Stegostoma tigrinum: one gene and its partner. The protein of the gene in region 2 interacts with the protein of the main gene of each other region in a biochemical or structural test. Links are inferred from orthologs where the notes say so. Each region holds a gene or a part of one and is shown on either strand. Other genes may lie near its edges.

Region 1 (3,749 bases), on a different chromosome or scaffold from region 2:
GAGTAGAATTCCTACCTGTAGAAGGCCAGGAGTTGGACTGGAATTTTACCCAGGCAAAAAAGATACATACCATCGCCAGGTTTCCCATTTGTCCATCGATCCCTTCCTCTTTCAAAAACTGCGTTAGGAACTGGTTAACTGTTGGGACAGTCATGTCAAAGCTCAACACCTTGAGTAGGAGATGCTCCATGCGCAGGAGTTGTTTTTTTGTGTAAGTGTCATCTGTTATGTAGACAAACTCATCTATTTCCGGGGGATAGATTTCTTCGTATTTCCTAGGGGGGAAGTGTACAAATTGATCGTTCGAGATTAAGTTTGTATTAAAATTGCCGAGATTACGCAATCTGCGCATTCCTCCAGCCACGATTGTTTTAAGTTTGCGCTCAGATAGCGACTTGACAAGTTTCCCACGCTAGAATTAAAAAAGAAAGACTTACGATGCTACCAGCATAGCTGCTGTGCCCACCAGTTGCAGCTTTCCCCTCAGGACTGACATACACGACAGGAATCTGTCCAGGTAGTTTATTGCTAAGTACAGTGTCTCAGTTTGTAGGTTGTACTCCTCACCAACTTCAACTAGCCAATCCACCAGAATTGAGCGCATACTGTGCGTTATATCTGGTTGCTTCTTCATATACCCAAATTTCGGTCTGCATTTCTCCTGAAAAATAAACACTTTCAACGATTAACGCCAAGTTGGGCGGATGAGAAAAGCCGAATTGCTAGAGTGACAAGTCCTGGTGCAGAATTAAAAATTCATCCCACAGGGAATGAACTGGGAGCCTACGAATTTGAAGGGCGGAGACTACGAGTCTAAGTCTGCTCTGAAATCCAGACAAACACTGCTTAGTGCTACTAGATTATTTCCTGTAGTCCAACTGCAGCGGAGTTGGACGCCTGGAGATTAAGAGTGAGTGAAACAAAAGCAGTTTCATAAGCGATACAGACTTTCTCGTAGTTAAATCTTGTTTCGAAGTAGATTTCGCAGCAGGCGAGTTTTGAATGCCCAAGTGGAAAAAACTCAGGACAACTAGCACTATGACCAAAGCCAGCGGAGAACCGCGAAGGACATACAGTCAGCCGAAAATGTTGTTATTTCAATAAACATTAAAGCGCATGCTGCTGAGACTCACTTCTGCCTCTCGGAGATACCGATAAATGTCTTCTGCATAGCCTTCCACGGCGAGGTAATTTACGTGTAGATGCGAATCTTCATGTGAACGCTGCGAGCGCATTGATGAATCTACTATCATAGGCGAGACTGTACAGACGACATAAACATTGAACGGCCAATGAAGGTTTGGGAACAGAATGCTTCGAACACGTGTACAAAGTAGAACTAGGGCTATGTACTCGAATGGTAAAGTTTTGAACCCAATCGTGTTAGTAGCGAAAATAAAACGGATGCAGTAACGTAATCTATATTTTAGAAGGCAACGCGATTAAAAAAAGCTCAAATCGAGCGATAACAAATTTAGCTCGCGTCTCGCAATTACCTTCACTCAGATCCAAGAGCAGACAGTAGTCGTCTGCTGGTTTGGAGATGTTGCCAACTTCTCCAAGTTTAGATTCCAGTTCAGAGGTCAAGTTACATTCAGAGACTTCGACCTCATCTTGGACTTCATCCTCCATGTAAATGGAGAAGTTCGGGTTGGACACAAAAGTAGCCGGATATTCCGAGAGGGTGCTGCAGCCTTTCGAAGTGAACCCATTGTCAGTCCCCACTGCAATGGTGCTGCAAGCTTTCGCTGAAACCTAATGAAACGCATTAGGTGTTGAGGGGGGGGGGGGGGGGGGGGTGCGGAGAAAAGGGAAATTCAAGGTCAGATAGTTTGCAAAACGGCCGAAATCGCCCAAGAGCTCCAAACGATAGATTTAAATAGCAGAGCTCCGAACATTCCGGGGGGGGGGGGGGGGGGGAGAATGGAAGCCCCAGGAATAGCGGATTTACTGAAGAGGTTACCTGAGAAAGTGAACGTCTCTGCTGGTCATTCTCATTTAGCACCCCTAAAACGGTCCTTTGCTTTTGGCTAACTGGGCCCATCTGCGGGACAAGATGTTGATTTTCTTGATTAGCATTGCGCTTGACAGCAGCGGAATTACTCCTGTACATGGTGGCTACATACATAAATTAAACAGCACCAACAAAAAAATTAGCTCGCACAATTTTTTTTTTCCGCCGTTCAGCTCTAAGCAATACCCTCTCAGATCACACTTATGAGTGTGTAAGAGCTTGCCTGAAGCCAGCCTATATAGCGGAGTGACTCTAATTAGTCTCCGGGCGAAAAGCAGCTCCCTCCACTCCCATCGTGTAGCAAATTACTTTCAAGCAGCCCGCGTCTATTAAATCGCACCAATCACCTTCCGTTATTGGCGCACGTGAGCTTCGTCTCCCCGGTGCCATGGTAACGCAGCACGCTCCCGGCTGCCACCTGACTTCCGTATGTTCTGCGGCTGCGTGTTACCAAGGCGACAAAGAAGTAGCATCTTTGGGAAAGAATTGAGCGCTCGACATTCTGTACCCCGCAGGATGCGGCACGAAAACTGGGGAGACTTTCTCCGAAGGCCTTTGTTTTTCAAAATATAAGATCCGAAACCCTTTTCCTGCCGTATCTATCCAATCCTTAAGGCGCTTCCACGGGAACCGTTGTAAATGTCTTTTTCCGGCTTCACCCATTTTCCACGAGTTTCTGGGTGGGATCGGAGGTAGAAAACAATATGCAAAAGATGGACGACAACTTTTTCCACATAATCTTGTGGCGCAAAATGCTTGGTGCTGGTTTTGATCATGGACTGAATGGTGGGGGTTGCATTTATAGGCCCAAAGTGGTATAGTACGACTTCAAGTATGAATCGCATAGGATTAGTTTTTAGCGAGGAAGTTGGTTATTGTAAGCGTTAGAAGCGTGCAGAGTCGGCAGATCTTAGTGCCAGACCCGGGAGTCCAATGCTTCATGCAATCGGCTGTCATAAATACAGATAGCTGAATAAGCAGAGATAATGGGAACTGCAGATGCTGGAGAATTCCAAGATAATAAAATGTGACCCTTAGGGTCTAGGCCCGAAACGTCAGCTTTTGTGCTCCTGAGATGCTGCTTGGCCTGCTGTGTTCATCCAGCCTCACATTTTATTAGCTGAATAAGCATTCGGCAACAGGAAGACCAACTACCACAACCACCCCAACCCCCACCAAATTAGTGCTATTAACAGATAATTTAACAATTTCTGAAGAACGGTCTAGGCCCGAAACGTCAACTTTCCTGCTCCTCTGATGCTGCTTGGCCTTCTGTGTTCATCCAGCTCTACACCTTATTATCTAATAATTAAAGTGTTTGTTTTGACTCTTGCCGTGGATCGTTCCCCAGGTATTACAACCCAAGCCTAAAGTCAAAATCAACAAGGTAAAATTAAATATAAAATAAGGTGACTATTGGAAGCTGGGAGTTCTACTACATATATCACAATTAAAATGAACTTAAATACAATGTCAAACTATGTGGGTTAACATTACAATTAAAACATTGTTAATCAACATCAGCATCCATCACCAATTCTAAATCATGTGAGAATAAATTCTGGAAAATTGGACAGATTGGGGTTGTTTTTCTTGGAAGTGAAGACCATAAGATACAGGAGCAGAATTTGGCCATACGGCCCATAGAGTCTGCTCCACCAATAGATCGTAGCTGACATGTTTTCCAACACTATGTTTATGCCCTTCCCCCATAACCCTAGACCCACTCCCCAAT
Region 2 (3,749 bases):
ACTTAGACTTTGACAGAGTAAATTTTAAATTATTTTCTTATTACTTGGGTTTATATAAGTGGGACTTGTGATTTTTGGAACAGCATAGCAGTAGAATTCAGTTCAGTTAGGGAATAGTAGTGAAGGGGAATTGTGCAGTTTGGTTGTAATTCTGTTAGTTTGTTCACTGTTAGGGTTAAGTAAATAAATTATTACTTATAAAACAAATATCATGGTTTTTCTTTCATTTAGCTGCCCCTTCTCTAAGTTTACTCCCTTTTAGGTGAGGTGAGGCGAGCTTCTCGGAATGTTTCCAGTTTAATTATTCGAAAGGAACCTCGACTCCTGCCTTAACAGATTTGCAGGCTTGTGTTTCGATTTTAAATAAGAGGGGTTCGACCTCTGCTTCCTAACAAAGGGTTGACCGTTTCAAACCGCTCAGCCTCGAGAATTCTCAAAATCATCTGAATATCTTTTTCAACTCCAAGACCTGCTGAACTTTTCCAGAAACTTCTGTTTTTTTTGTTCCTGATTTACAGCATCCGTATTCTTTCGTTTCCTTTTTCCAAATCGTCTTTGTCGAACGGAGTAAACGCCATCGCCTGGGGATTAGAACGGTGAGCATTTGGAAGTATAACGGAGCTAGACCGTTTACTATGGATGTAGCGAAGACGTGACTCACCGCTGCCAGAATCAGACTCATTGTGGCTGGGCTGGCGGCGCTGCTAAGGAAGTGACGCACAAGTCGGAAGCGGCGTGAGTTTGGCGCGGTCTCTGGGCTGTGGTGGCGTCTATTCGGTTTAGAATCTTGCACCCTTTTAAACATTCGAAAGCGGTGGCCTCGAGCGCGAGCTGAACGGTTGCCGCCGCCGAGCCCCACCCACCATTGTCCACACATCATGCCCCCCAAGTCGCTGAGGAGAACGGCCGCTGGTGGCTCCGAGGAGAGCATCTCTCCGGCCAGGTAAGGACGGGGTAACAGGGCAGCAGCTGTTGCTTTCGTCGGCCGAGCTCCCACCTCAGCCAGCCGCGGCCTGGGCACTGGGAGGGTGCAAGAGGTGTGGGGAATACTTGGGTGGTTACCTGTAAAGTGGCTCTCGAGAGCAGCTAATCCCCGCCCCCACGCGACATCTTTCTGTCTCTCTTTTTCGCTGCACTTGTCGTTGCCCTGTGCTTCAGTTTTGTGGCCCTTTACCTGGCTACTAGCCTTTTCCTTCATTGTGCAAAATCCCCGGGAACTTTTAAGTCGGATCGCAGCACCGCAGTAACCTGGTGCAGAACCCCACTGCTGACTCAGTGCTAATTCTGTGAGACCGACTCTGTGCTAAATGTCCAATTTCTACTGTTGTGGCAGTTAAAAAAGGGCATAATCCTCCGTAGGTAGCATTAGGGTAATCTTCCAAAACACCGTATTTATCACATGTAGTGTTTTTGACGATAGTCATTACCCAGAGAAGCTAGCAGACGACCCTTCAAATATAGGGTAATCGGTAGTAGCTGGAATATAGTATAATGCATCATTCCTTGGCAACAGCCTTTTAATTCACAATTTACTTTAGGGGAAAGAGGACTTCGATTTATACAGAGCCTTTCTCGACAGCGCAATACCCTGATGAATTTCTTTTGAACCGTAAGATAGTGAAGGGTTTCTGACAGTCAATTCCTCACAGGCAACTCCCTTCAACAGCAGTGTGATAAAATGTTGACGAGGTGAGAAAGGCTGAACTGGCTCCCTTTCTGTTTTAGCACACTACTCTTTCACACTTAAAACATAGTTTGGTAGTTCAGCATTAAGGAGCTAATTCCAAGGTTTTCTTGAGTGAGTGAAAGAAAAAGGAATTTTGCAACTTGCTAAGTCTGACGAAAAATCAATAAAACACATTGTATTCTTACAGATTTTACATTTTAAAAGGGGACAAGTGCCAAGTACAGACAAGAAAATAATGTTTCAGATAGTAGGAACTACAGATGCTGGAGAATCTGAGATAACCAGGTGTAGAGCGGGATGAACATAGCAGGCCATGCAGCATCATAGGAGCAGGAAGGTTGATGTTTCGGGCCTAGACCCCTCTTCAGAAATTGGGTGGGGGGTGGTGGGAAGAGGGTTCTGAAATAAATAGGAAGAGAAGGGGAGGTAGATAGAAAATGTATAGAGGAGAAGATAGGTGGAGAGGAGACAGACCAGTCAAAGAGGTGGGGATGGTGCCAGTAAAAGTGTATGTTAGTTGGGAGGAGATGGAGGTGGGGCTTGAGGTGGGAGGAAGGACAGGCTGGTTTTGAGATGTGGTGGTGGTGGTGGAGCGTGGGGAGGACGGCGGAGAGATTTTGAAGAAACCACGCGGAGGCTTGGGGACCGCTTTGCAGCACACCTATGCTCGGTTCACACTAAGCAACTGCACCTCCCAGTCATGAACCATTTTCAACTCCCTGTCCCATTCCATAGATGACATGTCCACCCTGGGCCTCCTGCAGTGTCACAACGATGCTATCTGAAAGTTGCAGGAACAGCAACTCATATTCTGCTTGGGAACCCTGCAGCCCAATGGTATCAATATGGACTTCACAAGCTCCAAAATCTCCCTTCCCCATACCACATCTCAAAACCAGCCCAACTTGTACCCACCTCCCTAACCTGTCTTTCCTCCCACATATCCCCTCCTCCCACCTCAAGCCCCACCCCCATCTCCTACCTCATAACTTTATCCCGCCACCCCCTGACCTGTCTGTCCGTGCTCCTTGGTCTGACCTATCTCCTCCCTACCTATGCTCCCCTTTACAGGCTCCATCCCCACCTCTTTGACCTGTCGGTCTCCTCTCCACCTATGTTCTCCTGTATCCATCTTCTAGCCACCTCCTCCTCTCTCCCTATTTATTGCACAGCCCCCTTCCCCTCCCCCATTTCTGAAGAAGGGTCTAGGCCCAAAATGTCAGCTCTCCTGCTCCTGTGATGCTGCTTGGCCTGCTGTGTTCATCCAGCTCTACACCTTGTTATCCAAGAAAATGATGTATCGTTTGAAGGTCCAAAGAGAAATTTTAATCTGGGACCATGGTTGTTTAATTGATGCCTTGAATGCTCAGCAGCAGCAAAATTTGTAGATATCTTTGACTTCTTGGTTAATGGCTGCTTCTGCAATTTGCAGTTCACAGACAATGTCTTCCAAAAGGCTGGTAGAAACCACGGGAAGGGCGAGAGAGAGAGCGCTTCCAGTTCTATTCTTAGAAACCCATTATTCCTTTCTACTTTGCCCAAAAGCTGTTGCTTGAAATATGCTGCATTTGCTTATTTCTGCAGCTGGCTTTATCTTTCTCTCAGATTGGACGCTGTAAGGGTGAGTCTTTTGTTCCACTATATAGAACTTCCAGAAAGGCACTGATGAAAGGTCATCAACCTTACGTTAACTCTCTTTTTAATTCTAGATGCTGCCTGACCTGCTGAGTGTTTATAGCATTTTCTGTTCGTATCAACTTCATAACCATTGCACGGTTTCCTGTCACTGAACCAACTTTAAAATCATGCTGGCACTGTCCTTTTTATTCACATGCTTCAGTTTTGCTGGTGCACACTTTTTGAAAGTCCATATGGACCACGTGAATCATATTACCCTTATGAAAAACCTGTTACTAATTTTTTAAAAAGTAGTAAAAACTCTTTTTGTCTTTGGAAAACACTTGATTTCTGTTATTCATGTATGTTCAAATAACTTAATTTTGTCTTGGATTATTGTTTCTGAAAGTTTTTCCACTGCAGGGTTAAATACTCCATCCTGTAA

What was found. The genes of interacting proteins can lie anywhere in the genome.
Region 1: the proteins of rb1 (region 2) and ccna1 form a complex in vitro, tested with the Homo sapiens proteins (2 studies listed by BioGRID, with this or other methods). The link is inferred for Stegostoma tigrinum from reciprocal best matches to the Homo sapiens genes RB1 and CCNA1.

What each region holds. Positions count from the first base shown.
Region 1 is NC_081359.1:85,062,633-85,066,381, reverse strand, and holds the start of ccna1 (cyclin-A1), read right to left. Parts: upstream 2,302-3,749; 5' UTR 2,129-2,301; coding exon 1,964-2,128; intron 1,756-1,963; coding exon 1,497-1,755; intron 1,262-1,496; coding exon 1,134-1,261; intron 662-1,133; coding exon 438-661; intron 276-437; coding exon 71-275; intron 1-70. UniProt on the Homo sapiens protein: May be involved in the control of the cell cycle at the G1/S (start) and G2/M (mitosis) transitions. May primarily function in the control of the germline meiotic cell cycle and additionally in the control of mitotic cell cycle in some somatic cells.
Region 2 is NC_081365.1:72,796,857-72,800,605, reverse strand, and holds the start of rb1 (retinoblastoma-associated protein), read left to right. Parts: upstream 1-735; 5' UTR 736-878; coding exon 879-943; intron 944-3,749. UniProt on the Homo sapiens protein: Tumor suppressor that is a key regulator of the G1/S transition of the cell cycle. The hypophosphorylated form binds transcription regulators of the E2F family, preventing transcription of E2F-responsive genes.